Daphnia pulex: one gene and its partners. The protein of the gene in region 2 interacts with the protein of the main gene of each other region in a pairwise test. Links are inferred from orthologs where the notes say so. Each region holds a gene or a part of one and is shown on either strand. Other genes may lie near its edges.

The links.
Region 1: the proteins of coatomer subunit beta'-like (region 2) and coatomer subunit beta-like interact in a two-hybrid assay, tested with the Homo sapiens proteins (2 studies listed by BioGRID, with this or other methods). The link is inferred for Daphnia pulex from reciprocal best matches to the Homo sapiens genes COPB2 and COPB1.
Region 3: the proteins of coatomer subunit beta'-like (region 2) and coatomer subunit alpha-like interact in a two-hybrid assay, tested with the Homo sapiens proteins (2 studies listed by BioGRID, with this or other methods). The link is inferred for Daphnia pulex from reciprocal best matches to the Homo sapiens genes COPB2 and COPA.

The regions. Positions count from the first base shown.
Region 1 is NC_060020.1:2,116,186-2,127,055, forward strand, and holds coatomer subunit beta-like, read right to left. Parts: upstream 5,253-10,870; 5' UTR 5,101-5,252; intron 4,946-5,100; coding exon 4,565-4,945; intron 4,501-4,564; coding exon 4,240-4,500; intron 4,177-4,239; coding exon 3,984-4,176; intron 3,914-3,983; coding exon 3,795-3,913; intron 3,737-3,794; coding exon 3,608-3,736; intron 3,544-3,607; coding exon 3,281-3,543; intron 3,209-3,280; coding exon 2,897-3,208; intron 2,834-2,896; coding exon 2,611-2,833; intron 2,551-2,610; coding exon 2,038-2,550; intron 1,962-2,037; coding exon 1,720-1,961; intron 1,657-1,719; coding exon 1,398-1,656; 3' UTR 1,181-1,397; downstream 1-1,180. Other genes in the region: START domain-containing protein 10-like, read left to right, coding at 1-103, 162-309, 380-532, 593-720, 793-915, 985-1,068; uncharacterized protein LOC124192347, read left to right, coding at 6,500-6,566, 6,826-7,050, 7,110-7,314, 7,386-7,880, 7,944-8,214, 8,279-8,608; dentin sialophosphoprotein-like, read left to right, coding at 8,992-10,870. UniProt on the Homo sapiens protein: The coatomer is a cytosolic protein complex that binds to dilysine motifs and reversibly associates with Golgi non-clathrin-coated vesicles, which further mediate biosynthetic protein transport from the ER, via the Golgi up to the trans Golgi network.
Region 2 is NC_060017.1:7,289,971-7,300,600, forward strand, and holds coatomer subunit beta'-like, read left to right. Parts: upstream 1-3,667; 5' UTR 3,668-3,832; coding exon 3,833-3,835; intron 3,836-3,906; coding exon 3,907-4,065; intron 4,066-4,127; coding exon 4,128-4,205; intron 4,206-4,273; coding exon 4,274-4,388; intron 4,389-4,449; coding exon 4,450-4,598; intron 4,599-4,667; coding exon 4,668-4,924; intron 4,925-4,986; coding exon 4,987-5,319; intron 5,320-5,382; coding exon 5,383-5,582; intron 5,583-5,649; coding exon 5,650-5,891; intron 5,892-5,952; coding exon 5,953-6,095; intron 6,096-6,171; coding exon 6,172-6,614; intron 6,615-6,673; coding exon 6,674-7,410; 3' UTR 7,411-7,692; downstream 7,693-10,630. Other genes in the region: uncharacterized protein LOC124197376, read right to left, coding at 1,261-1,628, 1,694-1,951, 2,014-2,280, 2,343-2,562, 2,641-2,715. UniProt on the Homo sapiens protein: The coatomer is a cytosolic protein complex that binds to dilysine motifs and reversibly associates with Golgi non-clathrin-coated vesicles, which further mediate biosynthetic protein transport from the ER, via the Golgi up to the trans Golgi network.
Region 3 is NC_060025.1:3,017,190-3,028,131, reverse strand, and holds coatomer subunit alpha-like, read right to left. Parts: upstream 5,463-10,942; 5' UTR 5,357-5,462; coding exon 5,277-5,356; intron 5,190-5,276; coding exon 5,042-5,189; intron 4,980-5,041; coding exon 4,425-4,979; intron 4,351-4,424; coding exon 4,140-4,350; intron 4,073-4,139; coding exon 3,699-4,072; intron 3,626-3,698; coding exon 3,473-3,625; intron 3,408-3,472; coding exon 2,810-3,407; intron 2,746-2,809; coding exon 2,537-2,745; intron 2,475-2,536; coding exon 2,292-2,474; intron 2,224-2,291; coding exon 1,814-2,223; intron 1,746-1,813; coding exon 1,571-1,745; intron 1,495-1,570; coding exon 1,090-1,494; intron 1,026-1,089; coding exon 789-1,025; 3' UTR 527-788; downstream 1-526. Other genes in the region: guanine nucleotide exchange protein smcr8a-like, read left to right, coding at 1-172, 233-526; GDP-D-glucose phosphorylase 1-like, read right to left, coding at 7,897-8,018, 8,096-8,161, 8,276-8,427, 8,507-8,607, 8,681-8,783, 8,936-9,261, 9,484-9,669. UniProt on the Homo sapiens protein: The coatomer is a cytosolic protein complex that binds to dilysine motifs and reversibly associates with Golgi non-clathrin-coated vesicles, which further mediate biosynthetic protein transport from the ER, via the Golgi up to the trans Golgi network.

The DNA of each region.
Region 1 (10,870 bases), on a different chromosome or scaffold from region 2:
TTGGCAAATGGTCGCAGATAACTCTTGGAAGCTAGAATATCAGCATGAAGACATTAATGTATGGAGCAAACATTCAAGCAGCACAGATTTAAAAATGATAAAAGTAAATTCACTCTTAAACCCCTAAAGTCTAAAATTTAACCTATAATTTTTTTTTCTAGGTGAAAACAACTTTTACTGATGTTGATATGTGGCTTTTATTTGACCTCCTCATGGATGGGGAGTATCGTTCACTCTGGGATACTGCTATGGTTGAGTCTTATACTTTGGGTTTCTTAAATCCCAACAATGATGTTGGTTATTATGCCAGTGAGTATTTTTGAAGGTTGGGGAAAGTTCTCTTTTCAAAGCCTAATAACGGTTTGGTCGATATATGTAGTGTCGTGCCCGCCGCCGATTCAGAACCGCGATTTCGTCCTTCAACGTTCGTGGTTAGCCACTCCCAAGAAAATTTCTATCCTAAATCATTCCATTACGCACAAAGACCTTCCCCCCAAAAAATATTTCGTCAGAGGAATATCCTACATAACAGGTTTCTTTTTCACAAATTCTTTTTCACAGCAATACTTAACCGCAAAGTTGTTCTGCATAGGCTACGTAATTGAACCTTTACCGGGGAAATCCAAGGGCCTGACACTCGCATATGTGTCTGCAACTGATCCCAGAGGAGCAATTCCCACTTGGGCCGTCAATAAAGGCACTCAATATTTTGCACCAAAGGTAATAGAAATAAAAATTTATTGAAAGCAGAAAGTTAATAACTGTGAAGTTGTTTCCTGGAATCTACTATAGATGATGAAAACGTTGCACAAAGCATGTCGGGGATATTTAGAATGGAAACAGCTACATAGTCCGGGTTTTAAGCCATGGCTGTATCCTGAACAGATGGACTATCCAAAACTACTAGTCGACCAAGTAATGTGAAATTTAAATGCTTTGTCCTATTTAACGCCTGTTTAACTTTCGTGATTTTAAAATATGTAGAACACCACTGTAAATGGTGCTAACAAGATTATGTTGAACGACAAAGGGAACAATCGAGACAGCAAAGAAATGGCGTCAATTTAAGTTAAGCATTTCCCAATATCGCGCACAAGTATGCTAGTTTTAATTTAATTTTGGTCCTATCTCAAAGTTCCGTATTTGCATGCATTGATTAATTTTATATGCAAAGAGCAGCAATTGTGAACTACATTTTAATATAACAGCCCACAGTTATATTGATGATGCAAAACTAATCAAGTAACAACTGCATTCCAAATATTTCTAAAAGAATGTAGATGAGGGGAAAATACTTGCAACAAATAGACATTTGAATTTGGGAAAAGTTTTGAATCATAGAAAATGAATGAAAAAAGTATGGAAATAATTGTAGAGGAAAATTCTACAATTACATTTTAAGCCACAGGAGACTTTACAGAAGCCTTTTGAATCGTGTTAATTTTGTCGCCGAGACTGAGAGCCATTCCTTGACTCTTGGCACGAATTCGAATGTGTCCTGTAACTGGTGCGTCGGGTTTACCGAATGGTTTCTCTAAACTGAGATTAGCTAACGCATCTTCTCCAAAGACTGAACGAGCATACAAGTTGGCTGCCATGAATCCACAATCACCAGCTAGTGCCTTCTCTGGAGTCAGACACTTCATATTTGTCGATCTACACAAAGAAATTAATTTATACTAGGAAATTTAGAAGGACAAAAGAAATGATCCCACTTACTTGAGCAGATGTTGCAAATAAAGATTTAGATCGTTGATATTAGTATTGACGGTGACTTTGTTCTCCCATTCGAAATCAGCCCACATCTGTCGGAATTCAGCATCAGTGCAGCTGGCAGGCATGATATAGTCCATGATATCAATGTGAATGTCATTCAGTACCACGACGTTACGGTCCGATGTCGAGCCAGTAACATCATAGACTATATTTCCAAAGATAATACCATTCTCCGTCGATGCCACCTTTAATTAATGGATAAATACAGGCATGAAAAACAATTAGTAATAATTCATTTAGTAATAATTAAAAAGAGCATACCTTAACGCTGGCCTTAATGTTGGCGAAATCGTGCGGAGCCAAAATGATAGCCGAAGGCTTTTCTACCAGTTTCAGATCACCGAGAGTTGCCAATTCCAACGTGCAGTTTTGAAGGGTGTCAGCCGTTTGATTGACAATCAAAACATCAAGTACGATGTCGTATTGGTTCACGTTTACGTACGCTTCGGCGTATACAGGATCAGAGAAACCAGTCAACTGCGTCACCTTGTTCAGTTTTGAGACGCTCAGATCTAATCCAGTTCGCTGAGCGGATCCTACCAAAGCTTGCGACAAACTTGATTCAAATACGTCTTCGAGGCCACCAAGTTCATTGCGTGAAAGCAGTTGCTTGAAAGAGACCAAGTCGTCGGCTTGGATTGATCGGCTGTTCTTTTCTAAGTTCTTTTGGGCAGCAGCTTCTTCCTCAGCTTTGGCAGCTAACATAAGTGAAATGGATCTACGGCAGGCATCGGTAAATACTTCTACTAAAATCGGTGATCGATCCGAGAGCACCTATGTCGAAAAAGAAAATTGTAATGGGGGTTCACTCATTTTTTACCATTGATAACTTACCTTAAGGCAAAGCCCCAATCTTTCAGCATCGTCATTGCTAATTGGTTTCTGAGGCAGTCCCGAACGACCCAAATGAAGAATCGCTGCAATCACTAGCATGGCTTCGGCACAAAACTGGTTTTGCGTTTGCGGGTTCGACACTTGTTGAACAAAACGTAAGGCCAGCTTTGTCATAGTTGTAGCCATTGATGCACCAATGAAGAAATCGCCTTCCATCAGATATCTACAAAGAAATTTAATTATGAATGCAATGCTAAATGGAACGACATCAACAGAATTGACATACTTTCGAAGAGGAGGCCTTTCTTCTTTTTTGGCGGTTGTTACGGCAGCACTGAAGATAGACTGCGTAGCGTATGTACCATCTGCAGTTACCAAGCGGGCGCTAGAAGCAACAGGATTAGTAACGCTCCCAGTTCCCTGTGCTAAAGGATTTTCCGGATCGGTCTGCTCTCCTGCTGCTTTTCGGATTTCGTCATCCACGATTGGAATTTCGCCAAGCGATTGTCGCACTTTGGACATAACTGAACGAATGTCATCAGCCGAAGTGGCGTATTCGCCCAAGATCCAAATTGCTGCACGGTGCACCTTGACGGATCTTTGAAAAAAAAAAAAACATCTAATGTAGAATTGCTGCCAGTAAAAACGAAATGGAGTTATTTAAACTTACTTGATGGAAAGAAAGGCTTCTAAAAGTTTTTCGATGATTAATGGACGAAGTCCTTCGAACTTCTGAATCGCTTCGCGAACAAAGACCAAAACATCGGCGGCTGCTAGCTCGTTGGTGTCGGAAAGGAATTCAGTCAGTACAGGGATGACGGTCGCAGAAATGTCAGGAAACTTGATGCAACACGAGTGAAGAGTGCGCACCAAAAGTTGCCGATACTTTCCCGTATCTTCATGCTCGGTTGTGTTGTGCGTCTTTGTTACCTCCTACAAGATAATTCATCAATAGAAAATTATTCCTATCGATTTACCATTTCACCGGAATTCTTACCTTTTTCAAAACGAGCACGATATCTTCTATGTTTCGCGAAGACACTAAATCAAGTATAAGGGATAGTGTCTTCTTTCGTACTTCCAAATCTGGAGTAGCCAATACCCGCAAGATGTCCATCACCAATTCCTGAAATGAATTACATAATTAATATTTTGTAACATGTGAATGATTAAATTCAAGATACCTGCAAGACACGTTCTTGATTCGGCTGCTCTTTCAAGGCGATCAAACGATCCAGCACAATCAACTTCACATTATTGTCGCTTTCCTTTAAGATAATTTCGATGTAGCAACTAGCAGCAGCTGTTCAAGAAGAAGAGAAAACATATTAAGTTGGAAACCCAAATTAAATATTAGTGAATATGAATAATACCTTTAATAGCCGACGGTGCGGACGATAAGGTTACTAGAGTGCCAGCAGCTTCGTAGCGAACGGCCGGACTGGTGGCATTCAAGAGACTGTAGATACAACGAATGAAACGCGATCGCTCACTAGGATTGGCGTGACACACTTTGTAGATAAGTTCAACGATGACCAATTGCAGAATATCACCGAAGGAGTGAACCTAACAGATTTTGTTTTCCTTAAGTTTGTTTGGAAATTGGAAACCTTAAAATAGTTCTATTACTTGATCGATGCAAGAGGTAAGATAGGAGAGCGCCCTTTCTTGGTCAGCGTGAATCAACATCATGAATGCATTACGTTTACAGGACATGTCCTGTTCACGTTCTAGAAAATTGGCAATCAATTCTGGCCCGTCAGGAATGAGGAAATCAAAATTGCGGTAAATTGTGTAAATTGCCAAAACAGCATTGCGTCGAACGTAAGAATGTCGGTGCTCCAAACACGACCTGATCGATGGCATCAACGGTTCTAAGATTTCAGGTTCCTAAAAAGTAAATTACAAAAGATTAGCTTATCAATAAATTAAGGTATAAAAGAAATTGGCTTACCTTAAGCTTGCAAAGAAAACGTAATGTTGATCCTCTAATAAATTCATTTGGATGTTGCAAATCTCTCCTGTAAGCATCACAGACGAGAATCATTTCATGCAAGAGTTTTCCATCTGCTGAAGTCTTTGGAATGATTTCCCAGAATATCAACAGAAGTTTCTTGACATTATGATCCTGAAGTGGCAGCACAAATTTGACCACTGCCATGAGGATTCCTGGAATCTTTTCTCCATTTAAAATTATGTAAATGGCCTTTTTTAAAGCATCAATCTTGGCTTTGATATCTCCAATTTCCAACTCTTTTCGCAGCTGATCTGGAGGTGGATAGTCAGAATCTGGAGTACTGATGAGGGTATAACAAGGTTGCTCAGTCACAGACATCTGTAAAAACAAAACAATACATGAATCGTGAAAACTTGGACCGGTTTACGCTCGATGAAATGTTATTGTGACAGCGACCCGCAACCCATTCGAAATCTATAACGATGGTATTTGTTGAACACTGAATAACGATTCCAAAATGTCGGATGACTTGCCTTGATTTCTTTGTATTACAACGGCTTGTTGTGTTTTCTGTGTGAGCCGTAACTATATGAAACGAAGGAAATTCACGAAACCTTTGACGTTGCAGAATGTCAGAAAATACCCACGTCAGTCGGTAAGCGACAGATCTTAATTCGTAAAATTGACAACCACGCAGCCATGTTGCCATTATGAGTTTTAATTTTGACGTTGTTTTTTTGTTATTTTTATTCAAAATAGATATTCAGTCCCAGCTTGTGTTGGTTTCCAGATTTTCCAGGCATACTCTCTCTCTGTACCATCAAAACAAGAGTTTTTGTGGGTTTCCCGGATAAACAATGTGTCAACTGCCTAGTCATCGTCACCCATGTTTCTCTGAACCACTGTGAACTTCTTCGACACGTTTGAAGCAGGTTTGAAGACCAGCACCAGTCACGTCTCCATCTTCGGCAATGGTCAGTTTGTTTTCAATGTGTAAAGGTATTTTGATGGGAGTTAGTTAGAATTTTTCGTCCATTTAATCGGCAAAGCCTTTAAGAGACGATACAATTTGTTCTTAGTTATTTGATAATAGAAATGTTCGTTCGAAATAGAATGTGCAGATGGCCACAATCTCCATACCTTCACTGCTTCACAATATGCAGATTGCATATTAATCGTCTTGCCATTAATCACAGAAAATTAGAATTGGAAACGATTAGCATCCGAAGGTACTGGCCGTTATATCTCTATTTCGTAGTTACCAGCTTTAATACGTTTAATATGGTCGTTACTTCGTTGGTTCGCTCGGCTCACTGTAGCCTATAGCTAATCGATATTAAATATTTATGTTTTATGTTATTAGCATCAAATGTAATTATGTTTGTTCAGGATACTTTTCATTTATTATTTATTTTCATCGTTTTAAACTAACTGAGGCATTGAGCAAAAGGAATCATGGAAATTTCCGCGACTATCATTGTTGCGTCTACGATGATCTTTCCTTAAAATTTGTTTTTTTTGTGTTGGTAGGCCTTCCATCTAAAAAAAGTTCAAGTATTCAAGTAAAATATCTTTAAATTTTTAAAAAACGTTTTATAATGCAAACATGTTATATTTTCAACGTAAAAGAAATTATCTTATATTTAAAAAAAGCGTGTGGGTAGAATGAGGCCATCCTCACGATAGATAAACATCACGCTTTCCCGTAAGAGGGAAACTAGGGTCTTCTTCTTTTGACGCCACCGGCAATCGGAAAGACATTTGATTTTTTCCTCACAGGCACCACAGAGCATGATGTTACAGCTAGCTATAAAGAAAGACAACTGCTGTTAGTGAACAGACGGCTCCAAGTCATCGGCCAGTATACAAGACTTTCTGATTTTCGAGTTCATTTTTAATTGGGGTGTCGTCATTCGCTGTTGAGAGTTCATCATGCGATTGTTCCTTCTATTTTTAGTTTTTTTGTTTGTATCGCCTGTTTTGTCACATTTCAGTGAAGGTAAGGAATTCACTGAAAAGTCCGTTAATGTCGTAATTTTACCCTTCAAATAACCTTACTCGGAAACTCTCACGCTAAGTTTTCTGATAACTGTTATTGTATTGCTATCGCTTCCAAGTGCCTTGCCCCTTACCATCAAAGGGCGTTAACTGAAAATAATTTCAGTTAAAAAACACTTTGGTTGAGTTTTTAACTGTAAATTTAACTTAAGTTTGTTCATCAAGCAACAAACAAATTTCATTTCATTTTTCTAATACAGAGAAAAAAGACGCAAGTTTGGAGGGCAGCCTAACAATCGAAACATCCGTGATCAATGCAAAGAATGAAACGAAATTGTTACTTCCGGATCTTCAAGTAGAATCAGTCGACGTCAATGTCGAAGAAATTTCATCAGCTACAAGTGTTGAGAGAAGGCAAAGCAGGAAAAAGAAACGTCGAAATAATAAGCGACGTCAGAATCGTATTAATCAACTGAGGAAGAAAGGTAATTTTTAAAAGTCCCAATTTTATTTAGTGATATTGTACATATTTCTGAATCACTAGGTAAAAAACCCAATGGACGCAAACGCCGCCCACAGAATGACAAGAAAGGATACGGAAAGAATAAACGACCCATTTTTAAACCAATTCAATACTTGGCTCGTTCGTCTAGTACAGATCAATTGAACAAAGCTCTGGATGAAATGCTCGAGAGTTTGTCTCTAAATTTAGCCAACGAAAATTCATCAACGTTTTCACTAAAATTGAAGTGAGTTTATTATAATTTTCTAAAAACTTTCTATACATTTACTCATTACATTGTATTGTTCTCGTCATTAGCAACTTTCGCGAGGACATGAAAATATCTCCTTGGGCTTTCCTTGCAATAAATGAAACGCAAACAACCGAAGTGGAAAGGAAAATTCGTACAGAAAGAGCCGCTGGGGATCCCGGAACGGAAGCAGTTGAAAGCGATGCAACCGAAAGTGATGAAGACGTCGATGATGATGAGACGAATGTGGAAGGGGAAGCGGCAATCGAAATCGCAACCGAAAGTATTGCTGAAGAGTCTTCCACTGTTTCGGAAGAAAAAGAGATCATAGCAACTGAAGAAGAGAATGACGACGACGATGATTATGAAACAGCCACAGAAATTTCCCTTAATTTTAAACAACCACAGAAGACTAATGCAACCCAGTTTTATCGGACCCAAAAGCCATCTCCTGTTGTGCTCGACGACGGCACTATCGAGTACAATCTTCAGCTGCTCAATGAAAACGATATTAAGCAAAGAAAACTGGAATTCAATGAGGATATTTCATCAGAAAAATTTCAGTAATACCTAACTTAAAGCAATGAAATTACAGCTTTCATTTTAATTTGCTGTTTCGTTTACAGAGATGACACTGGCCGCCCGGTCAAGAAACTGGAGGGTAAACGAGGTTCATCTCGACGCAATTCACGCAGACCAAGTGCTACTGTGGAAGGCATTGATCAGATTAAAAGGGAGGGCGATGTTTTGATTGGAGTGAGAGAAAATTCTACCACACACAATGTCGATGCTACATTAATAATCGGCCCACTCCATTTTTTTATGGATGCAAAACCAGGATTCCCTCCACAATCTCGCGTATCGTTGCCTCCGCTTTCCGCTAGACTTCGAATGACGGTCAGCAACAACTTGTTCGATTCAAATGAATTTTGTAATTAAAATAATTGTGTATATTTTTTAGGAAGTTGGAGGGAAACTGGTAGGAGTGCGATTTAAGCCTACGAAAATTCGACCTGACGAAGCATTAGTCACGTTTAAATTATGCCAAGATGGTAAAATTCCCACTAATTTGGAGACGGCACGCATTGTAACTTATTTGAGTCAAGAGATGACTAAAGTTTGGAACTCTGGAAATTTGCTCCGTCGTCTCAAACGCCAATTTAAGCAATTATTCATAGATGAAACAGTTGGCAATAAAAGAGAACATTCTAAATCTCAAGATGCCAGAATGCTTGTCGAAACATTGGCTCTTTCTGCATTTGGAGCAGCTATAAAAGACGACCCCAAATAAGTCTTTATCTGTTTTTGAATATTTATCCCCAAGTTATTGATTTACATTATGAGTTCATGTAATTAATTTCGTTATATGGTAAAATGGTATATTAACAGCGAATTTAAATAAATTGCTGACAGTATTTCTCAAATTTTAATTCAGTATAGGCTAATCGACTCTAAAAAGTATCGCTAGATGGCGAATATAGGCATTTAGCAGACCACAAATCCACGCTCAACACGTTAAGGTTTTGTCGTTTTCCCGCCAAACACACTCAGTTTCACTTCCCCAGTTTTTTGGAACAGTCTTTAGAAATTACTTGTTTTATTTCGTCGTTTAGAATTTACAAGTAAAATTTATTATATACCTTTCAGCTTATTTTAAATATTTGAAAATTCAAAATGGACGATGAAGTAATGGAAGCCCTTGATTCGGGAACGTCTTCCGAGTCAGAGTCTAACACTCCAGATTCACCACTGAAAGACATCAAATCTCCTGTTGCTAACAATAGCTCAGGTTCACTTTGCTTGAATGATCATGAAGCATTGAAAGCAAAATCTCCTTTGAGTTTGCCGAACAATATTTCAAAGCCAAAAAACGAACCAGCTTCATCATTGGTAACAGTAGATGACAACTCAAATTCAAGTGATGTTCCTCTCATCAAATTTGTGGCTTCCGCAAAGACAAATGAAACTGAGGTAAAAGAAAAGACTGTTGCTCGCAGTAGCAGCAAGAAGAAAATGCTGAAAGTCATAGTTGAATCTGATTCTTCATCTAATAGTTCTACTGATCAAGATGAGAAGCAAAATAGCAAACCAGTTTCATTGTCAAAAGTGGATGATGACTCTAATTCGAGTGATGTCCCGCTAATTAAATTTTTAGGTTCCCCTAAGAAAAAGGAAAAGAAAGAGGAAAAACAAAAGACTGTCATTAGTGGCAAGAAGAAAATATCAAAACTTGTATCCGAATCTGATTCTTCATCAGCTAACAGTTCTGACACTGTGGCTCTTGATAATGCTTCTGGTTTTAATATTGATATTCAAAAGAGTGAAATACCCAAGAGCAGTACCAAGAAAGCATCTAAGAAGACTGAAACTAGTAAGAAAATTGATCTTAAAAGAAAAAGAAGCGGCGAATCTGACTGTGAAGAAAAAGCTAATTCTAAAATCAAAAGAAAACTAGATATGTCATCTGATAGTGACTCTGATGAAATTGTTAAAGAGAAAAGTGCTACACCATTCCCAGCTTCAAAGAAGAGGAAACCTACTTCTACAACCGGTAAAAAGAATAAAGCAGATTCTACAATGACCAAGAAGAAATCAGCTCCTGCTAGCAGTAAGAAGAATGAATCTGTTCAGAATAAGAGTGTTGTGTCACCAACAAAAAGCGAGTCCAGCGTTGACCAAAAGAACCAAACTCCAAACTCTAAGCTTTCTGATCCTAAAAAGACCAAAAAGTTGGATACACGTGACATATTGGAAACACTTGATGATGACTCCAACGGAACTAGTGCTAGCAGCTCTTCAGAAGATGTAGAAATGGAGGAACCTCAAAAAACGGAAGAAAACGCAGAGGCAAAATCAAGTTCCGACAGTGATGAGGATTCGGATGCAGTCACAACTTCTTTCAAGGGCAAAAAGAAAATTCTACAGCAAGAAAAATCAAGCAGTTCGGAAAACTCTGAAAGCGACAGTGACGATGATTTAACAGCAAAGAAAGTCACCAAAAAGGCAAAAGGAAGGTCCGATTCAGCTTCTAAGAAATCCGACAACAAGGAAAGCAGCTCTTCCTCCAGCGATGAAGAATCAGAAAATGTTTCTCCGAAGAAGAAAAAAGCCGCATCGAAGGATGTCCCCGAAAAAGCAAAAGGAAAGTCCAGTTCGGCTTCTAAGCAATCTGAATCCTCATCAAGCAGCTCTTCATCCAGTGAGGAAGAATCTGAAAATGTTTCTCCGACGAAGAAAAAAGCCGCATCGAAGGATGTCCCCGAAAAAGCAAAAGGAAAGTCCAGTTCGGCTTCTAAGCAATCTGAATCCTCATCAAGCAGCTCTTCATCCAGTGAGGAAGAATCTGAAAATGTTTCTCCGAAGAAGAAAAAAGCCGCATCGAAGGATGTCACCAAAAAAGCCAAAGGAAAATCCGGTTCGGCTTCTAAGCAATCTGAATCCTCATCAAGCAGCTCTTCCTCTAGTGATGAAGAATCGGAAAATGTTTCTCCGAAGAAGAAAAAAGCCGCATTAAAAGGAGAAAAAACTGCTAAAAAGGAATCTAAAAAGGACG
Region 2 (10,630 bases):
AATCCAACGTCCTTTTCTTATGATTAATTTTTTCGGTTTACTCTTTTATAAAAAATTATTATAAATGACCTACTATAAACCTTAATACGGATTATTATTGGAAAATCAGAGTTGAATCGTTTTTTAGATTGTAATGAAAAACAAATATTAGAGCTCTGATATAATTATTCGATATCTAATTATTCCAGCAGCATTAATTCATTTCGTTGTCGTATTGAAAACACGAAATGATAAGAAATTGCATCATGCCTGTACCATTGTTTAATTCAATTAATTTTACAGGTTTGACATGACGAGAAATTCTTTAAATTCTTCTTTTCATGGATAACTAAGCGAGAAAATAAGAAGAGCTAATTATATACTTCGTGTTGTTCGCGCAGCACATCAGCAACGCCAGATTGAAATAATGCAAATTCACCCGAGTGGCACTGTCCCAAGAAAGATCAAAATAACAAAAGCATTGCGGCATCTTCTTAGGTTAAATATTTGACTAGCGGGAGGATGGTCATGACTTGTTCACCTTATTGTCCTAGATCGATCAATCAAAAAAAGGATCCTGCATATTATCGCCCTGAAATGCGGATTGAAGAAGCTGCACGCGAAGCGCGCTTCTTCTCCCGGGCGGAGAAATTGAAGCGCGGGTGATCTGAATTTAATTACGAAACCGTCTTGAATTAGAAATTATAGCCAGTCGGCGGCACTCAACGAGCACTACTAATGTGTTGAGAGACAAGAAATGGTAGCAGTACGAAGTTAATTCACAACTCGATTTGGGCGTGGTTGGAGTGTCAGCTTTGTAGAGCATTGTCCGACTATGGCCGTGAAAACTAGATGTACCGCAGGAGTGGTCAACGCTCTTTCAAGAATAATCGACGCATGCACAGTTTCATTGATTTTATTCCAAGATTTAAATATGATGCAACTGATGGTCAAGACAAATTTTCAAAGCACATTTTTTTCGAATACAATCTGGTAAGCCATACAGAACGGGACCGTGCGATTATTTAAGTTTCTAGTTTGAATGTTTTCATCTTCTAAATATTTGAGTACTACTTCGTATACAGAAAAATGAGTGGTGAACAAAAACTGGTGGCACTGCTGTTGAACTGAGAATTGCCCAGTGAACGCCTCGGAATTTACGTTAACAAAATAGGTATCACTGAATTTATAAGAAATCTTCGAAAACATATTCAATAAGAAAGTGAAATTTAAAATCTAGGGTAAGATATCTGTCCACAATTAAAACGTAAAATTTAAGCGTTACAGTATCTTAAATCTCTTGGGATTCGGGACAATCTTCCTTGTTGGTTTTAAACGACGACAAATCGATTTTTTGAATGAATCGTCGTCCGAGAGAGTCGACGCAATGCTTTCATTTAAAAATTTGGTATTACAGTTTATAGGAAACGATTGGTGCTGATCATCAATTATAGAGTCTTCAACATTTTCTTTGGGATGCGGTGAAGATTCAAAAAGTTTGAATTTTTTTGATGAATGTGAGTTCCTTGATAACAAGGATTTTGCCATCTCTTCCTTTGAATCAACTTCCAGAACAAATGTAGGCACACTCATCTTCTTCAATACTACTGGAAGTTCGACAGGTTTCAGAATTTCAAATTTTGTTTCTTCTGTGAACAATATACAGCACAATAAGATAAAAATTGTTAAAAATATTCAATAAATGTTATTTCACCTTGATCTCCATTTAATGGAGTAGCTATTTCATGAGAATATGGTTCTGACGACTCACTAATAGATGGTTCTTCTAAGTCCTGTAACTCTTTAAAATCAGAGCCCTTTAAAGCCTCAGAAATGAATTTTTTGTGTGAATGTGATTTGCATTTTGCATTCTCTTTCTCTGGATTAACTTCCAGAGCAAATCTGGGCACACTCTTCTTCACTAATACTGCTGGAAGCTGGACAGGTTTTAAGTTTTCAACTTTTTGTTCTTCTGTGAACAATATAGAGCACATTAAAATCATTTTTTTTTCTTTTTACTTGAATAAGAATCACCTTTTTCTTCATTTAATGGAGTAGCTACTTCATTAGAATATATTTCTGATGACTCACTAGATTGTTCTTTAAAGTACTGTAACACTGTAGAATCTGAGCTCTTTGAAGACTCGGAAATTAATTTGTTGACTGAATTAGGTGAGTTCTTTGTTAACAAATATTGAGCATCAATTTTTTGCTTTGCTGGAATAGCTTTCACAACTAATGTAGGCACAGTTTTCTTCACTGATATTACTGAAGGCTCATCAGATTTTAAGTTTTCTTGTTCTGTGAATAATAATATGGCACAATATTAAATTTTGTTTTGTACTCTTAAAATGTTATCTTACCTTGGTTTTCATTCAATGAAGTAGCCACTTCATTAGAATATGTTTCTGATGACTCACTAGACTGTTCTTCAAAGTGCTGTATCACTTTTTTAACCGAGCCTTTCGAAGCCCCAGCAGACTCTTTATTCTCTTCAGCTGCTAGTTCCAGCACAGTATTAATCCTTGTCGAACTATTATCCAAATAAGATCGAAAATCCACGTCTTTTTTGTCTTCTTGGTACTAGAGTAGTATGTATAAATCGCAAGAGTTAGAATCAGGTCTGCATAGCTCTTTGAAGAGAATTTGACATTAAAATACCTTAGTGAAGAAGGAACTCCAAAAATTATCTCTTTCTTGTAAAATTCCTTCCCAGCATTTTTTCAATCTGTCCATCGTGTTGGATTGTCATTTCATAGTTTCGAAATTATTGATCCATTATTTCAACAAGTAGGCCACTCTCTTAACACCAACAAGAACATAGCATCCGACGCTTTCGAGTTTTGAATTCACCTTTGCAACTTAATTTCGTCTGCTATAACTTTTGCAACAGTGTTTATCTGACAATTAGGTGATGATTGAAAATTTGAAACATATTATTCCAGAATATATGGATGAAGGAAAAATGTGGTGTATTATTCACAATTGTATCATCAAAATTAAAAATAAGAATCAAAAGACCCCAAGTAATTCCCTGAGGATTGCTTGTTTCAGGCAATCAAGAAAAATGAATTGCAAAAATTTTCAGCAGTTAATTCATTATCTTGATCCAATCTTTAAAACTGGATTTTTTTTGTATGACATGTAATCATCATATTTGAAGAATGAAATTTCAGTTTCATGTCTTACATCACTCTCCTTGAGTGTCCTTTCCGCTTTAAGGATGAGACCTTCATCATTCTCGTGGTTAATGACAGGATCATTTGTTTTAGCTCCATGTGCATGGTGCTCAATCTGTAGAAAACCATAGAAAAAACAACAAATACATAAAAATAGCAGTAAGATGTTATTCAAATAACCTTCAAAGTGTCATATTCGTATTTTCGAAAAGGTGGTGGCAGTCCCGGAGCAACACCCAACTCTTGAATTATTCTAGTTTTCAACTCTTCAGTTGTAAGGGAAAGTGGTACATTCTTTAAAACCACATTGCGAATGTTTCGATATTCAAACGACCGGATGACTCGAATAATGATCGTGGCTGTCTCCATTGATAAATTGTGCGGGGCAGTTTGTTTTGAACTGATGTGATGTTGCCACTGTCGAAATAGTTTAACAAATTTTGAATTATTACAGGGTACGCTTAAAATGTATAGAATAAATAGCTCATAATAGTTTTGAAAATTACACTCCCGACGAGGTCACACAATATTAGTAAAAGCTGATAGAAAAGAAGCAATTTAGTATTTTGGCTAATGATTCTATCTGGCAATGTTTATTTGTGCTCCACTCCTCCCCCAGTGATGACAGATCAACCGGCCACGTAGTAGAACTATTCAACAATCCTCACAACAAAATGGTTTAACATTAATACTACTTGTTTAAATCATAACAATTATTGAGCTAATTTCATGTTATAATTTTTTATAGCCGCTGAAACTAGATATCAAGAGAAGGCTTACCGCCCGTTCGGATCGCGTGAAAAGTGTCGACTTGCATCCAACAGAGCCATGGATGTTGGCCTCCTTGTATAATGGAAATGTGCATATTTGGAACCATGAATCACAACAAATCATCAAATCTTTTGAGGTAAAATGAGTACTTCATTGAATTCTTCCTTAATGACTTGACCATTACTTGCCCTTTTGTAGGTTTGTGACCTGCCTGTTCGTGCTGTCAAGTTTGTCCCAAGGAAAAACTGGGTTGTTAGTGGTTCTGATGATATGCAGGTATAGTTTTCTTGATGTCTTATCCATTTCAGATTAGATATAGTTTAATCCTCTTTAAATTGTTCCAGGTCAGAGTGTTCAACTACAACACACTTGATCGTGTGACAGCATTTGAAGCTCATTCAGACTATGTTCGTTGCATTGCTGTGCACCCCACTCAACCCTTTCTATTAACTAGCAGTGGTATGTAAATAATCTGTTTTTCTAACAGATTCAGTGTTCATACAGTCTTTCTTCATTTTAGATGATATGTCAATTAAGTTGTGGAATTGGGAAAAGAACTGGGCATGCCAACAAGTCTTTGAGGGTCACACCCATTATGTTATGCAGATTGTCATCAATCCAAAAGATAACAATACATTTGCTACTGCATCTCTTGATAGAACAGTCAAGGTATGTTTTTACGAAAATATTTTGCCAGAAATTTAACTTAAAATCAATTTATTACGGTCCCTCATTCAGGTCTGGCAGTTGGGCTCGAACACACCGAATTTCACTCTTGAAGGCCACGAGAAAGGAGTAAATTGCGTCGACTATTACCACGCCGGCGACAAACCTTACTTAATTTCAGGTGCAGATGATCGGCTTGTTAAAATTTGGGATTACCAGAATAAAACCTGCGTCCAAACTTTGGAAGGGCATGCACAGAATATTTCTTCTGTTGCCTTCCACCCCGAACTTCCAATTCTGCTTACTGGATCTGAAGATGGAACAGTCAGGTAAATTTATTATTCTCTTTATTTATTTTTTAGTCAAGTATACTATTTTCTCTAAATCGTAGAGTATGGCATTCAAATACCTACCGGTTGGAGACTACTCTCAATTATGGGCTGGAGCGTGTCTGGACCATTTGTTGTTTGCCTGGGTCTAATAACATCGCTTTGGGCTACGATGAAGGATCTATCATGATTAAATTGGGCCGAGAGGAACCTGCAATGTCCATGGATCAAAGCGGTAAAATTATCTGGGCCAAACATTCAGAGATCCAGCAGGCCAATCTCAAAGCGCTGCCGGACTCGGAGATCAAGGATGGAGAACGTCTTCCTCTTGCCATCAAGGATATGGGTGCATGCGAGATTTACCCTCAAACTGTCGCTCACAATCCAAACGGAAGGTATGTTTGCTAACTGCTCATGGCATAGAAACCAGTAAATAATAAAATTCCGTTTCATAATAGATTCGTCGTTGTTTGTGGTGACGGCGAGTACATCATCTATACAGCTATGGCTCTGCGAAACAAAGCTTTCGGTTCAGCTTTGGAGTTTGTGTGGGCAGTGGACTCATCCGAGTATGCTGTTCGTGAAAGTGCCACGTCGGTCAAAGTTTTTAAGAACTTCAAGGAAAAGAAACAATTCAAACCAGAGCTGGGAGCCGAAGGTATATTGTGCATAGTAATTGAAAACAGAATGAAATATTGATTCTAATTAAAATTTTACATTCACAGGAATCTTTGGTGGAGCAATGCTTGGGGTCCGGTCTACCAACAGCTTAGCTTTTTACGAATGGGACAATCTGACACTGATTCGTCGGATTGAGATCCAGCCACGTGGTGTGTATTGGTCGGAAAATGGTGAATTAGTTTGCATTTCTACCGAAGACAGCTATTTTGTTTTGCGTTATGATGCTGATGCCGTGGCCAAAAGCCTTGAAACCAAAGAAGGCTTGACCGACGATGCCGGAATTGAGGTGATTTTATTTAAAGACAAAGTGTTAGTACATTTTTAAAAAATATTTTCTGAATGTTTAGACGGCGTTCGAAATGTTATCTGAAGTGCAAGAAAGTGTTAAGACGGGACTTTGGGTGGGCGATTGCTTTATCTACACCAACAGTGCCAACCGATTAAATTATTACGTCGGTGGGGAAATTGTCACAGTGGCCCATCTCGACAGGTATGGCTTGAAAGTTCACCATTCTTGCAATAATCAAACCGATACTATTAAACCCATGTGTAACTTTTGTTTCCAGAGTGATGTACTTGTTGGGCTACATTCCCAAGGACAACAGTCTTTACTTGGGCGACAAGGAGCTAAATGTAGTTTCCTACGGCCTGCAACTCTCGGTGCTTGAATATCAAACCGCAGTTATGCGACGAGACTTCGAAACAGCTGACCGAGTGCTCCCGTCGGTTCCCAAAGAGCAACGCACTCGAGTGGCTCATTTTCTTGAGAAGCAGGGATTCAAAGAACAGGCATTGGCAGTCTCCGCTGATCCTGAGCATCGCTTCGAACTGTCACTTCAGCTTGGTCAATTGCAACTGGCCTACCAACTAGCCTGCGAGGCTCAGAGTGAGCACAAGTGGAAACAACTTGCTGATCTGGCCACAACCAAATGTCAGTTTGAGTTGGCTCAAGAGTGTCTTCACAAGGCACAGGATTTCGGAGGACTCCTACTTTTGGCTACAGCATCCGGTATGTCATTTTACATTGTTTCGTCCTTTGTTCAGATAGTTAATATGTTGAATGTTCAGGTAATGCCGAAATGGTGCAGCGATTAGGCGATGACGCAATTGGAGCTGGCATGAACAACGTTGCCTTTTTGACGCGCTTCCTGAGTGGCGATTTGAACGCTTGCCTTGAGATCTTGATCAACACCCAACGCATTCCCGAGGCTGCCTTCTTTGCTCGCACTTATCTGCCTAGCCAAATCTCGCGCGTGGTCCAGCTCTGGAAGCTCAGTCTTAGCCAGGTCAATGCAAAAGCTAGCCAAAGCCTGGCTGATCCTGCCCAGTATGACAATCTCTTCCCTGGCTTGATGGATGCTCTCAAGACGGAACAGTTTCTTGAACAGAGACGTCAACAGTTGCCGGCCTCGGCTTACTCTTCGCTGCCCAACAATTGGGAGAGACACCCAGTAGAGGAGATGAGACTAGCCGAACAGAACGATCAATTCCATCATGTTACGCCCGCTAAAGTGTCCTTTGTGGAGGAGGAGAAGGAAGTTGAAGAAACCAATGAGCAAACGAATTTGAATCCTTCCGCCGGTTCGCTCCTCATACCAGAACCTGTGGGAGTCGCCGCCGCCGCCAGCCAACCTAAAAATCTTCTAGATGACGACGAAGAAGATTTCCAGCCTGCAGTTTCTGAACCAGCCCAGGGCACCAGCCAACTTGACCAAGATCTGGAGCTTGACTTGGAAAATTTGGAGCTAGACGATAACGTCGATACGTCGGAAGTGAATTTGGACGACGATCTACTCGACGATTAAAAATATGGAAGTGAACCACCCCAATTATTATTCAAAAAAATTTTTTTTTTACAAATATTTTGTCCGTATTTTGTTCAAGTTTTCAGCTTTCTCTTGAAGGAACAATGTTGTCTTGTGAGACATCTCCAACACTGATGTGGAAGACAATGTCGATATTCCAGTTAATTTGAATTGAAGTGTTTCGCCGTTCCATCTTTCGCTACAAACGAAACAATTCTACATACATTCTTGTTATACTTGAACTAGATGAGTTGAGTTCAATATAAAAAAAGTACTATCCTTCATTGTCTCCCTATGTCAATATTTTAATTTCTTTTAGTTTTGGCGCTTCGCCATGAAGTAAATTACATGCGTGTGATGACATTTTACCATTTTGTATTTTAGACCACAGAACGATTGGAATGCCGTGGAGTAATCCGACCTGAACAGTTTTCAAACGCGTAAGGTAACATGAGCGGGACATTTATGACGGTTTAGCTGTGATGTCATCGGAACCCCCCGCGGACCTGCCAAGAAGTAATGTCTTTTTAAAGGAGCTGCGGTAGGCCTACTTTAGATGTGAGTAAGCGGTCTCACGAAAGACAGAGATGTTCTCTCGCCGATGCCGTTGGGTGGGTGGTCGAGATTTAGTTCCAGTAGTAGCCGAGATCGAATGTTGACAACAAAAACGAACTCTTAACCATTTGGGATGAATATGATTTTGCCAATGTGGCAATCTGAGTTTGGCACGCCATCACGTGACACGGTGCCGATTACGAGGTTATAAGAAAGACGGAGCGAACCAAATGAAAACAAATAAAAAATGGAGAAAAACAGTCGTGTATTAAAGCTAAAGGGGGTACTCTTACAAGTTGACGATAGGGCAGTGGGAGTAACACTAATCTCCTTTCTAAGAAACTGGGAGGTCACTGGTGATATCAGCAACTGCTTCACGGTCGCAGCCCAGTCAAAAGGGCTGTCGGGATTTTTTTAAAAATGAAATTCAATCGCTGCTTGTGCTGAGTCGGTCTGTGTCCCTGTACCACAAAAACTCTTTTGAGTAAAAAAATCTTGTTCGAATAGAACTGGGATAGAAAAAAAACAAGGGAGAGAGAGATTAAACGGGATAGTCCTAATGAGAAGATATAAATAGTGTTGCTCAATAGGTTTGTATAGTAGCAGACATCGAATGCACGATTTTCAGCCTGTTAGCCATCATTAGGTAGTTGGGAGCTGCTGGGCGACTAGGTAACCCTCGAAAATAACAAAACCGAATGTTGGAGGGGGGAGAGAGGCATGGGAGTTTAACATCGCAGTATATTCGGTCGATTAAAGGTGATGTGATACGGCCTGATCTTTTCCTTGTCGAATCCACACCATCGCAGTTCGAAAGGTTCTCCTTTTTCGAATGTTATTCTAAAATAAAAAAAAACAATCTTATATTCGGCCAATTTAACCCTCGTTAAAATTGGTTCCTGACTAAACATTGGAGTCACGTTACTACGGAAATACTCCCTCCCTCCATTAGTTTAGTACATGGCTCGTTTCACTATAACACACACACACAAAAAAACGCAGCACAACAAAAGTTTTGTGTACTAATAAAATCGGGGTGCGTTATTACGATAATGAAAGAATGAGCTCGCACGCCGATGTATTAATACGCAGTGCACAGCATCCAGTCGAGCCGATAATCATAAAGAAAACACTGGTGATCATTGATGACTTTGTTTGTCAAAATATTTTCCTTTTCAACCGTGATATTCAATCTATAGTCGTCTATAGCGACGCATGCTGTCGCTATATTACATTGAATTAGCCAAGCTAGCTCGCGCGTATACATGAGACCTCAGCGGACGCAGTCGACAGTTTTTTCCTTTAAATTGTATCAATACCCATAGATTACACAGAGACCAGTCATAAACACACGGAATAACTTTTGTTTTATTTATTTTTGGGGTGTAGAGACAACGGCTGTCCACGAAAAACCAAAATTAGGCTTTGCCGCTGTTGCGTCTCTTTTCTTCCTTATTTCATATCGAATTTATAAATCCTGGAATGTTTCCAAACACAAGGACAAATGAAACACTCGCCAGCAGAACGTTTGAAGAAAACAAAAGGGAATATAAGAAAAACCGAAGATATAACAAATACGTAAAAAAGACAAGTGAAAGGAAAAGTCATGGCAAGCAGGTGCGAAAGTGTCGTCGATTTATCGACCCTTTTTCTCCGGCCGGCTCTTCTTCTTCTTTTTTCCTTTTCTTTTCTTTTTTGGGAAAAGGCCGAGAGGTCGTGTATAGGTCCATTAATCGCGCGGTCCTCCAACACGTTCCGCGCGATCCTTTTTCCAACCAAAAAGCGTTTGGTCGACGAAAGAATTTCAAAATTCCCGCGCACTAGTAAAAAACGGAACGAAGCAGAGAAAATTCCAGCTTATTGCCGACACAATAACAGCAACCAATCGAACTTGAATTTATTCTTCATGGGTGGTGTGCTGTGCTGTAGCCAGCCATACTAAAAACTAAATCATGGAAAAACAATTGAGACAAAGGCGACTGCCGACCGACTGGGTCGTCGGAAATTTCCCGTGGCCAACGGAAGCTGCGCGTTGGGATGGTCACGTCACTTTGTAGCAGCTGAGAATGGAGCCCGAGTCGATTCATTTTCAACTGACGTGGCTGGTATATACCATGCAGCAGGCCAGATGTCTTACCCAAGCTATAGATATAATAGACTACTGCATAGCTATAGCTTCTACTTCTAGACTCACAGAACAGTGTGTAGGCAGGCTACGTAAGAAATAAAAGGCCTATATGTAAAGAATTTTTCGAATGGTTGCTTTTGGGTACAAACTTCAGAAGGGAGAATCTGTAGAGACTAATGGCTTCCATAGGGTTTCCCTTACTGGGTCACTTTCGGAAACCGACGACTCTTCTTTACCCGTCGAATTGCCAACGCAACGTTGTTTCCGTTTTGGCTCTAATATCAACTCAACTGCGGTAAAAGCATTTGCGTGTTTTGCTATACAGGCCTATGTGTGTGTCATGACCATGTGCTGTCAATGGTGCAATTGCTGCCGGTCAATAAATCTTTCGATCAACAATTCTTTTCCGTGCACGATGAATGTGTAATATAGTGAGATTCCCAACAAGACAGAACGAGGTATTCGTATACATAATTGTTTTTTTGTTTAATGTGTGTTTGAAATTCGAGAAACAAACAACAAACAAACCAAATAAAA
Region 3 (10,942 bases), on a different chromosome or scaffold from region 2:
TCAGGCAAGAGGAGGTGTGCGTCCTTCTTGCATAGCTTACATCACTCAAAATCAGACCAAGCTCTATCGTCTGAAAAATGAAATCCTCAATGTTCTCAACATGTCTGCCCAAATATTGAAAAATGCAAACATGAGGTGGATGGGGAGCTTAGGACAGGATGTTGGAGTACAGGTAGACAACAGTTACTGTACTTTGACCTCCTACAAGTATTATTTCTTTGATCCTTGACAGGAGAACAACACTATCACTAGTCTGCTTGACAAATGGAATCATCTAACTCAGCCAGAACCTGAATTAGGGGATCAAGAAAAGAAGCTTAAGCCATGGCATTTGCTCTGTCCCATAGGAATCTCAATTGTGATATCAGGTCTAATATTTGTGTATAAAATAACCTGTAGACCTCTGGAAGATCAGATCTTGGACCCAAAGGTGATTTGTTCAACTTATGATTTGTTTACCAACGTAAACCCCGATAATGTTGATTTTAAAGCTGTAATGTCTCAATTAAACAGTTTTATATTATGATCAGTTTGTATCGAGAATTCCAGAAAATAAATCAAGCAACACGGATATGTTTAGAAGATAGCTTTATAGTTTATACTTGAATTAGAACTGGTTCTCCAAAGGTGTTTGTTGTATAACTTCAATGTATCTAGTACCCCAAAATTAACAAACCAACATAGCAAATAGCGAAAGAAAAATAACAAACTGTTGATCAAAAGACTGGGGTTCGGCCAGTTGATAAAATAAACGATACTGGAATTATCAAGGGACACGAACGTTTCGTTTATCGAAATTGGGCGGTACTAATCCGCAATCCGATGCAATCCTTTCCAATTTCAGCAACGGTACAAACTTGACACAAGGATCCCTTCAATGAAGGTTGGTAAATTGAACTACAAAGAGGGCACTTTTCTTCTGGTTTTCCGCGATAGATGGGCGTGTAAGTTTTAGCGCACAAGTTGAACGGGTTGTGCTCATCGTAGTGGAGCTGGACTTCATCATTTGCACCTTTATCGCATGCCTGTGGACACAAAATAAAAAAAAATTGAGCATGAGTTACCACAATAAACTTCCAGATGAAGTACCTGAAGGATTTTGCGAGTTTGTTGCGCCACTTCGGGTTTAGGTCCAAGTTCCAGGAGGCGCCGGGCAAAGGAGGCCGCAGTGCGGAAGTTTTTGAGTTTGAAACTAAGATTCAGCGCCGTTCTCAAAGTTAAGATCTGATGGATGGGTTGCAGCTCTGAGTGGGTGAAGTAGGCTGCCATTTCACAGCTACGCTTCTGATCCTCTAAACTCTCCTTGGGCAAATCTTTACGAGCAGCTTCCATGCTAAGGCCAACAATATACTCCCGACAGATGGCAATTAATTCTTGGGCCTTGCGAACTTCTTCTTTGTTGTCGACCACCAAGAGTGGAACATTTAACAAAAGCAGGCGGAAACGATCAACAGCTTCGTTGAATTTGCCAGCAGTCGTCAGTTGATAGCAGATCTGTCAACCGAATTAAATATAATTTAACTACTTTCCCAAATTGAAAAAAAAAAAATAAAATAAAATGATGGCCTACCTGAAGCCTTTGAGCTAAATCAGCCAAGCGAACACCAAGTGCAGGTAATCCGTGAACTTTAGAGGAGGCAGCAACTTCCCTCCAGTTACGCTGTGGGTATGCGGCCAGGGAAGGTAGATTAGGCAATCCAGCAAACATAGTTCGTGATTTGGCGAAGGCTGCGGTAAACAATGGCCTAACGGAGTAGAAAGAAACGCTATGTTATAAGCAAATGACGAAGGAATTAACAGTTATTGTACGTACTTGAACGGTGCAAAATTAACGACACCAATCTGGTCATGGAGGAGACGGAAAGCAGATTCATAGGAGCCAGCTGAAGCGTGATCAATAACCAATTGCGAATGAGTGGCCCATCCTTGCAGAGGAGGCTGACCACGAGTGGGTGGCACGTAATAACCGCGGTCTTCGTCTTCACCTCCATGAGCAGCAACGCTCAAATCGGATGGTAACTCTAAATCTTCATCACCCACTTCCCAGCCACCTTCTTCATCTCCGCTCTCGGCATTGCCAGCCGATCCAACCGGTTTATCTTCATCATCAAGACCAAGATCAGCATCATCTCCCCAGCCATCAGGTTCACCGGCATCTTCCTCGGTAGCAACAGCAGATCCAGAAGCAATGGTACGAGCTGCCATGGCTCCATCGAAAAATCCCTGTTCCAGTTCATTTCAAATGTTAAAGTTCCCTCCCATTAAAATCTATCAAATGAACAATGGCGTACCTTGGAAACGGTCAACAATGGCCAGTTGGATTCCGCCTGAGCAATTGGAGGAGGCGGCTGCAAGAACACAGCAGATGGATTTACAGTAGGTACTGGTTGACCGGCTGCTTCCAGTTGTTGTTGCAGTAGTTCGGCCTCTTCATTAAGCCCATGGGTAGCGGCAGTAAGGAAAGCCAAGCTCGTCTAGACCATGTTTAAACATTACTATCATTCAAAACTTAGTTAACTGAACCGTCCCGTATTACCTGTCCGCAGTTACGAAGCACCTTGACACGTTCTTGCATATCCCCTAGCAAAAGGGCCGATTGGTATTGACCCGAAGTGTCCTTGCGAATTTCAGCAATCTTCATCATCTTTCTTAGCTTGTCGAGGTTGCCAGTAATCAGATACAAAAAGGCCAACTTGTTGAAATTCTTTGTCCTTTGATAGCACATCTCAACGACCTGGTGGTTGCCTACAGATCCAATATAAAGTAAGTTAAACATCATTAAAAAAAAACTAATAGCGAGAATCCTGACCTTGAAGAAGGGCAGCTTCGCCAAGTTTCTCCCAACAGAACTTGTCGTCTAGAGCCTTGGCGGCTTCAAGAGCTGCTTCAATGTTGCCACATTGGAGAGCCAGGGCCAGTCGAGTCTTTTCGTCTTTGACAAAGTGTAGGGCAACCTCTGGATAACCTTTTTGCTGCAAATAAGCGATGATCGATTGGCCGACAAGTTTGGCGTGTCGAACCATGTGCAACACTTCGTCGTACTTTCGGTTGACCAGGGCCAACTTGAAGCAGTATTCGGTGGGATCCACCTGGAACATGCGAGGACGGGCATCGCGATCCAAACAGTAGATAGCCTTGCCCTTGACACGGGTGAGATACACGGGCAGATCTAGGGTGCGGATGATGCCGTGATCGCCGTTGATCAATGAATACTTGATGTGGTGGCTAGTGGTGTAGATCAGAACACCCGAATCTTCCCAGGTAGCAGACTTGAGTCTGGCGTTCTCCTGGATGGTGCACAGCACTTCAAGACGACGGTTGGCGATGGTCAAGACGTGCTTGCCCAGTAATGCAACGTGACTCATGTCCGCCGACCAAACGACATGGCGACATTTGGTCATTTTAACCTGCATAGAAAATTTTGAATGAACATGGTTGTTCTTGGAATGACCTACTTGCTTAGTTTTATTACCTGTCCAGCACTACGTTTCTGTTGGATATCAAATAAGGTCAAGCCTTCCGTATCACGAAGTAAAACGCATCCAGTACCAGCATAAAAGATTTCATCACACGGAGGTGTCTGAATTTTCTTGCTGACTTCGTTCTTTTCGTTTTTGATGACGATCTAAAAAATGAAAAATGAAATAAAATTATTGTAGAAAACCAACATTAACCCGGTGTTTATAGTCGTGGCATACCGTGTGGTTACGATCCAAGACAGCAAAACGATTGCGAGCGACCCAGATGGCAGTCACACCTGTTGAGCGTTTTCCATCGCCACCATCTTGCGGACAATCGGCTTCAACTGGAACCGAGTAGAGCTCGTAGATGGAATTGTCTAAATTGGCAGCGCGAGTGACAACCAGAACAGACTGCTCGGCAGGATTGTACGAGATGCTGTGGATCGGCGTGCGAGCGTTGCCCCTCAACTGCAGCAAACCGGTATCTTTCGACGTGGTAAGATCCAACCGACGAAGGGTACGCTCCTTGACGTAAAATAGCAGATTGCCGTGCAAGCTGTACGCAGGCCTTTCTCGCTCCAGCTTAAAGATCACCATTCCGGAATCGTGCCCTGAATAAACAACACATTAGCATTATTAGCGTGATCCAATTTGAAATGTTACAGAATGTTAATTTACCTGCTGCGAATAGACCCAAAGTTGGATGGGCAGCCATAACCCAGAAACGGTCGTGTTCACGACGGAAAGTGTTGAGGCACGTCCTCTTCGTGAGGTCCCAAACGCGGATACTCTTGTCTTCCGAGTTGGAAAGGATCAGCTCTTGTTTAGGATGGAACAAGACGCAAGAAACATTGTTGTAATGGCCACGGCACGTATCGACTTCCCATGCCTGTTCACAATACGGAGAAACAAAAAAGTTATTTTCAGAAGATTAACAAGTCATTTCTGCTGTGCTCTCGTCACCTTAGATTCACTCATTCGCCACAACTTGATCTGGCGATCGTCAGCACCCGAGATGACCAACGGAAGTGTCGGATGAAATGCTGCCCAATTCACTCCGCGATCGTGCCCCTCCAAAACATGGCGAACAACTGCGTCAGCTTGGCCAAATAAATCGGTGGCTCCAGGATTACGGAGGTGTTCATCGAGACCTCCAGGTCCAGGTGCCACATTCTTTTTTCTCAAACCTAACAAAAATAGAAATAATGATGTGATCTTGACAGTGAAAAATGGTTGACAACTGTTAATACCAGAAATGTCCCAAACTCTGACAGTTTGATCCAGGGATGCAGAAACAATCAAATCTTCTGTGGGGTGAAACTGGGCACACATGACATAGTGGTTATGGCCAGTCAAAACAGATACACAAGCTCTGCTTTGCCAGTTCCAGATTCTAATAGTTTGATCATCAGAGGCGCTCAAAATCCATGGGTATTCGTGATGGAAGACTGTGGTACGAATGTAGTCCATGTGGCCAGACAATGTGAATTGACAGCGCCGCAGCTTGTAGTTCCAGACCTAAAGGAACAGCATACATTATTGGCATTTGTTAATTTGTCAAGTCAGGCAAGGGTGGGTACCTTAATTTTGTAATCATCGCCACCAGAAACAAAGAGGGGCTGCTGACTATGGAAACAGATTCCACGTACAGGTCCATCGTGCTCATCGAATTTATCCAGCAACGCACACATACGATAATCCCATAGTTGAATTACTCCGCTATGCAAGCTAAATGACAAAAATTCAATTAAAACAATTCAGACTTTGACAACTGCCGACTTCAAGACGGGAATCAAAGTATGCAAAAACACGTACCTCGTTAGAATCCATGGTCGCTTGGGATGGAAGGAAAGGCCTTTAACTCTGGCCGATTTCGTTTCAAATTTAGTTAGCATTTTTGCGAGACATTAACCGGTGAACGGTCACCAAATATAAAGTATACAAGTCTCCGGAATAATGAAATGACAGAAGAGCCACGTCGCTGAAGTAGTCAAGATAAACGCCACCTACCGATAGGTTCATATAATATGAAGGTACTTCACGCTAGATGGCATAGTTCAGTGCGGATTTGGCTAGTTTTTTTTTTTTTAATTTGAATTGCCAAATTCTTCTGGTGTTGGTGAACGAAGTCAACGTAGGCGAGTCTTATCTTGTCGACTTAGTTATCGTTAACTACGCCCAAGGAATGATAGAGCGTGCTTTCTAATGTTGAAGTGAATTGCTTTAAGAAAAAACTCGATAAGATGAGTCAACAATCGAAGAGAACTGTATGAAATTTGAAATTCCACTTAAACGAAGATTCGAATGTTTTCTTTTTCGTGTCAAATTCAAGCCAAGTGTACTTTTGACAATACAAATTACGAGATAAGGGATTGTCGCATATTCGTAATTTCTTTTGAACATTATTCGTTAAAATGTAAGTTAACGAAAAACGAAATTTAAAAAATAAAAATCCAAGTTGATTATCCCGAAATTTACGATTAATTGCCGGTTCAACAACTGCAGAGCAAGTTTCTGTCCATGGAATGATATATATACGACCGCTAGACGAAGCGGATAATCATCAAACTAAACAGCGATTCATATCACCATGACGAAATTCGCAAAAGGGAAAAAAGCTTTTTCAAACCTGATCGGATACGTGATTACACTTATCGTTGTGTGGACATTTTTAATCTGTTTTGTCAAACTACCTCCTAATCAACCGGACATTAATGGAAAACCAATAAAAATAACATGCAACGAGTACGATAAAATTAACTATCCGATGAAATCCAGTAACCCGAGAGAAAAATACAGTGTCTGTTTTCTACAAGGAACATGTTTTTGCTGTGTAAGTCTCTTGATGTCAGGCATCCTACTCGCAAAGAAAAGATTCCGTTCTGTTTCATCATCAAACCGTTCTGCAGGCATATTGCTGGTGTTGTTTCAACTTCTGCTATGGATTGTAGCGTTGATTACTGGAGGTGTTTTCGTCTGGCTATGGGTGAACAACGGTCCAACTGAAACTCTGGCTCCAAACTTTCTAGCCGCCTGCAAACCGAACGGACTTGATGTGCTTTGCAGTCCCGACAATCATCTCGATGGGAATCCGGTTGTTTGGGTCACATGTTCAACACCTCCGGAAATGTGGATCCCCGCCCTATCCAATGCGCTGCCCACACTAGCGGCAATTCAGGCTTACCTTATGTTTGCAACATTATTGCAAATGGATTACTACTGGAAGTGGGAGGAAGAGGATGATTCTGCAATGAAAATTGTCCAAAGACTTTTCGGTATAATGGGTCCAGTCTTCACCTTTCAAATTGGATACTTTGACGTCATCTCGCCTAATCTGGCGAATTTCGACCAAGAACTGGTTTCCGGCTACCTGAAATGCTGCGCTGTTGCTTGTGTGTGGTTAGCAGTGGATAGATTTTGGACGAAAACTAAAAAAGAACCAAAACTTCCACGTTACTGGAATGACGTTCCAGCTAACAATGAAATCGCAGCCCAATCTGGCCAAAGCACCACAAACCTGACACCACCCCCCACACCTACTCTGCACGAACCTCCAGCGACGACAGGATCAGGAACGACAACAGGAGAAGCAACAGAAAATGTGTATCAGACCATTTACCCGAATCTGCCGCCGGAATATGAAAATCCCCCCGCCAGTTACAGAGACTCGGTCATCCGGAATTAAACGAGTTGGGAACAGCTACCAATTGAGATCCGTACGTCACTAAAAAATGTTATTCATGTCTGGATTTAAACGTATGACGATTTAATTTCATCAAATAAATTTCAAGTTCAACTTCACTCACTTCATTTCATGTTTCAATTATTTTAATTAAAACGTAGTATATTAGTTCTACCTCTAATATCACGGTAGAAATCATTTCTAACATATATGTCTAGTGTAACTGCGGTTAACCTACAGAATCACGACGGTCGTGACCAGCACAGAACAGAATTTTACGGCGTTTTTACGGCGTTAACCATCATTTGACATTGTCAAATGATGGTTGAATGGGGGAGGGGGGGGTATAAATTACCGGAATTCCAGCCCTTTAGAATTCCCCCTGCGAATCTATCATCGTAGTTTTGTTGACAACATAATTATCACGTCAAGATGAAATATACACAAAAACCCCCCAGAATAAAAAATTAAAATAGTTTAAACAACTGTGTTTCACTGGTCAGCGTTTTGTAAGAGACAACGAAGGCAAAAACAGCAAACGACCTGAAATTGTTTCAACCCAGCCAAACGTGGCCCGGCTCCAAATGAAAATTGATGCAAACCGAAATAAACCGAAAAATCGTTACTGTTGTCTGTGCTGTGCACAACCTCACGGAACCAGTTGAGCTGGTCGAGAGAAAAAAGCTGGCGCGATTTAATTACAACAGGGTCATTTACGTCAGTCATCTGTCAACTGGGAGCGATCGTTTTTGACTACGTGGCAAAAGCAAAGAGATGGGCAATCTGGGCGCCGACGCGCTCGAACCAGGGTGCCGTGATGCTGTCCAGCAGTTGGGCGGCTTCTTTTTCCGTCACGACCTGGTAGGCTGGTGGCTCTGAAATAAATGCAAAATGACCTCAAGACAGTTATAGTCGAAGAAATTATGCTGATTCTTCACAAGTTTAAACGCACCTTTGATCAAAAGGTGGCCGGCCAGCTCGCAAAGTGCAGGGTTGAATCCTATTTCTTCTTTGACTCCTGCGGGCAAAAAGTGGGAGAGAAAAAATGCCAGTTAAAAGGGACGCTGCGCCACTTGGAAATTTATATCTGAGTATTATATTTTCTCTCTTTTGTTCTACACGTCCATGTTACCGAATGCAGGTTCTCTGGCCCAGACGAACACGCGCAGCGTATCGTAGACATCGGCGGTGGTAAGAGTTCCGCCGAAGCGTTTCCCTCGAGTCACGAACAGATTATGGGCAATCTCGTTGGCGCAAAGGTAAGAGACCAAAGTAAACACGTTCCTGCACTCCAACAATGGCCATTCAACAGCAGCAATAAATTATCGATCGCAACGATGAAAAGTGTTTTCGATATGTATACTTGGCGAGGAGTGCTGGATCGTTATCCGTCAGCTGAAATGCGAAACCTTTCGATGGGAAATCAGTTAAAGCGAAACAAGGCCCAGCGATTGGCTCCACAGCCTATTGAAAACCAATTATTTTTGGGGGGGGGGGGGTTTATTAAACAATTATAATGGGAAATCAAATGGCATACCGCTGTTTCCAGGTAGAGCCTCTCACGCAAATAATAGAGATGGTAATGCTGATGATTGACAGATGCATATCCTCCGGGGCTGTTGAAACCGGCCTTCAAATTCCTGCACGTAAAAGGACGAAAAATAAAAGGGAAGAAAACGTTTTAATAAACAATCGTTATTTACTTTAGCCTATTGAGGCTTGAGTGGTGGTGGTGGGGGTTTGCCTGTGTACAGACGAGTGGTATATTTAGAATGGCTTTGTATATACTCACACATCAGTGCTCAGGAGCATTAGCCTCACAAGGAGATCAAGTCCCTCTTGGGTGATTCTCTGAGGGATGTTTGCTGTCACATTAGGGACAAGTAGACTGTTGCCAAACTCCAAAGGACTGACATTGATTATGACAACAGCATCAGTAGCCTCATTGTCCTTTATTTTGCCAGAAGTTGCTGCCGCTGCTGCTGCTTTATTGCCAGGCTTCAACAAAACCTCTTGGGCAGGAACTTTGTTGAAGTTGAATAGAGTGCCATCAAAAGGACTGTTGACTTTCTGCAAGTTTTGGGGCAGCCGCCGCTGGGTTGCCCTGTCTGAATTCAGCTGCATTCATATCGGGAAAGACAATATAGAGTTAAATTTATTGTTCCTTCAGTCCTTTTGCTCGTGTCTGCCTGGGTGTGTGTGGAGCTGCAATTGTTTTATGACCACAAACTTTTCGTCAACTTCATGCACATAAGTGTGTGTCAGCTACACGTTGGCCAGAATAGGTCAGCAACATTGGCAAAATGAATACTTTGAATAGGTTATTTAGTGATGTAATACCTGTGCAACGAATCCATATTTCCCCGGAAGAATTTTAGTTTGCAAGTTGGTGAGTCGATACCGGCACACACCAGCCTCTGCAGCGATTTCCCATTGATTTTTCAAAAGACTATCAAACCGACTGTGAACGGGTTTTTCATTGGAAATGTTCCATATTAAATCGTCGTCGTCGAAATGGAACTCCATTCCAATAGTGAAAAAAACGATTCCACGTCACCAATTTAAATATTCAAGTCGTTCGTCAATTTTTCAAGCAGTAGAAAATGAGTAAACAATCACAACGTTGTCACGTTTTTCCAATCGATCAAAATTCTTCTTTTTTGTCAAATCGGGAAAAAGAAATTGTCGCTGTGCTCCTCCATCATTTTCGATTCGATTCAAAAAATAGCTGCCTGGATGTATGAAGAATCCAGGCCAGCAGCAGTCTCGCAACTTGATTTTTCCGATTTGAGCGTTGATTGAGATGGAAAAGGGGCCGTCGTGTGTAATACTGTAGATTCACGCCATTGACAACAAGTCTCCAAGGCGAGAGTATGGAAGATGACACCGAAATAAAGATACACACACCCGCGTCGTGCTGCGGTGTGTGTGTGTGTGTGTACATGTTTCCCAACTCTGATGATGAAAGCTAAATTCAAGAGATTTTTTCTAACGAGGTGAGAGGGGATCGCTTGTGCTGGGCTGGCGGCTGCCGTGACTCCCGGCGTGACTCCCGGACCATCACACGAGAGGAAAAAAGAAATGTCTGAAACCGCACGCTGGCTGAAAATAGTTCGTTTGCGGGGGCCACACGAATGGAAAGAAGAAAGAAAGAAAGAAAAAGAAAAAATCAAAGAGAGAAATGAATGTAGGAGAGAGACTGCATGCTCCTGGAGCAGCACAGGAGCAGCAAAAGCGCCTTTTCCCAGTTTAGCTCGAGTAACCGGTGCCGGCGCAACGTTGCGTCTTCACGCTCCCGGCTATATAGGCCTGTGCACCAGACGTCTTTCCTTTCAAATTATTTTCAATTCGATTTGATTTTTTTTCTATCAGCGAATTTGATCGATTTGAGAAAATAGAAACGTGAAAACGTGACGAATTAGCCGAGTGAAGTGCGGATTGACCGGAAGTTGCCGTGCTGCGGGTGCTTGTACACGAACTGCTGTATTTTGTTTCATTTTCAAAGGGAATTATTATATAAAAGATAAGGGGAAAGTTTGTTTTTCCAGTGTTTGCGTCGATGTGTTTCCCGGTTATAATAAAATAGGCCGCAACAGAGAAGAAGTTGCTGTTTTGTATCTCTCACGTCCATCGCGTCCCGTCGGGCCCCCGGAAGAGGATCCTGAAAAGAGCAGCAGCAAGTCCCGAGGTATATAAACTATACTGTACAACTACACTATACTCTCCCAGCAGCTAGCGTTACAACAACAACAACAACAACACACTGGGCTATGCAGCAGCCCGTCTGCGGTGTTTAGAA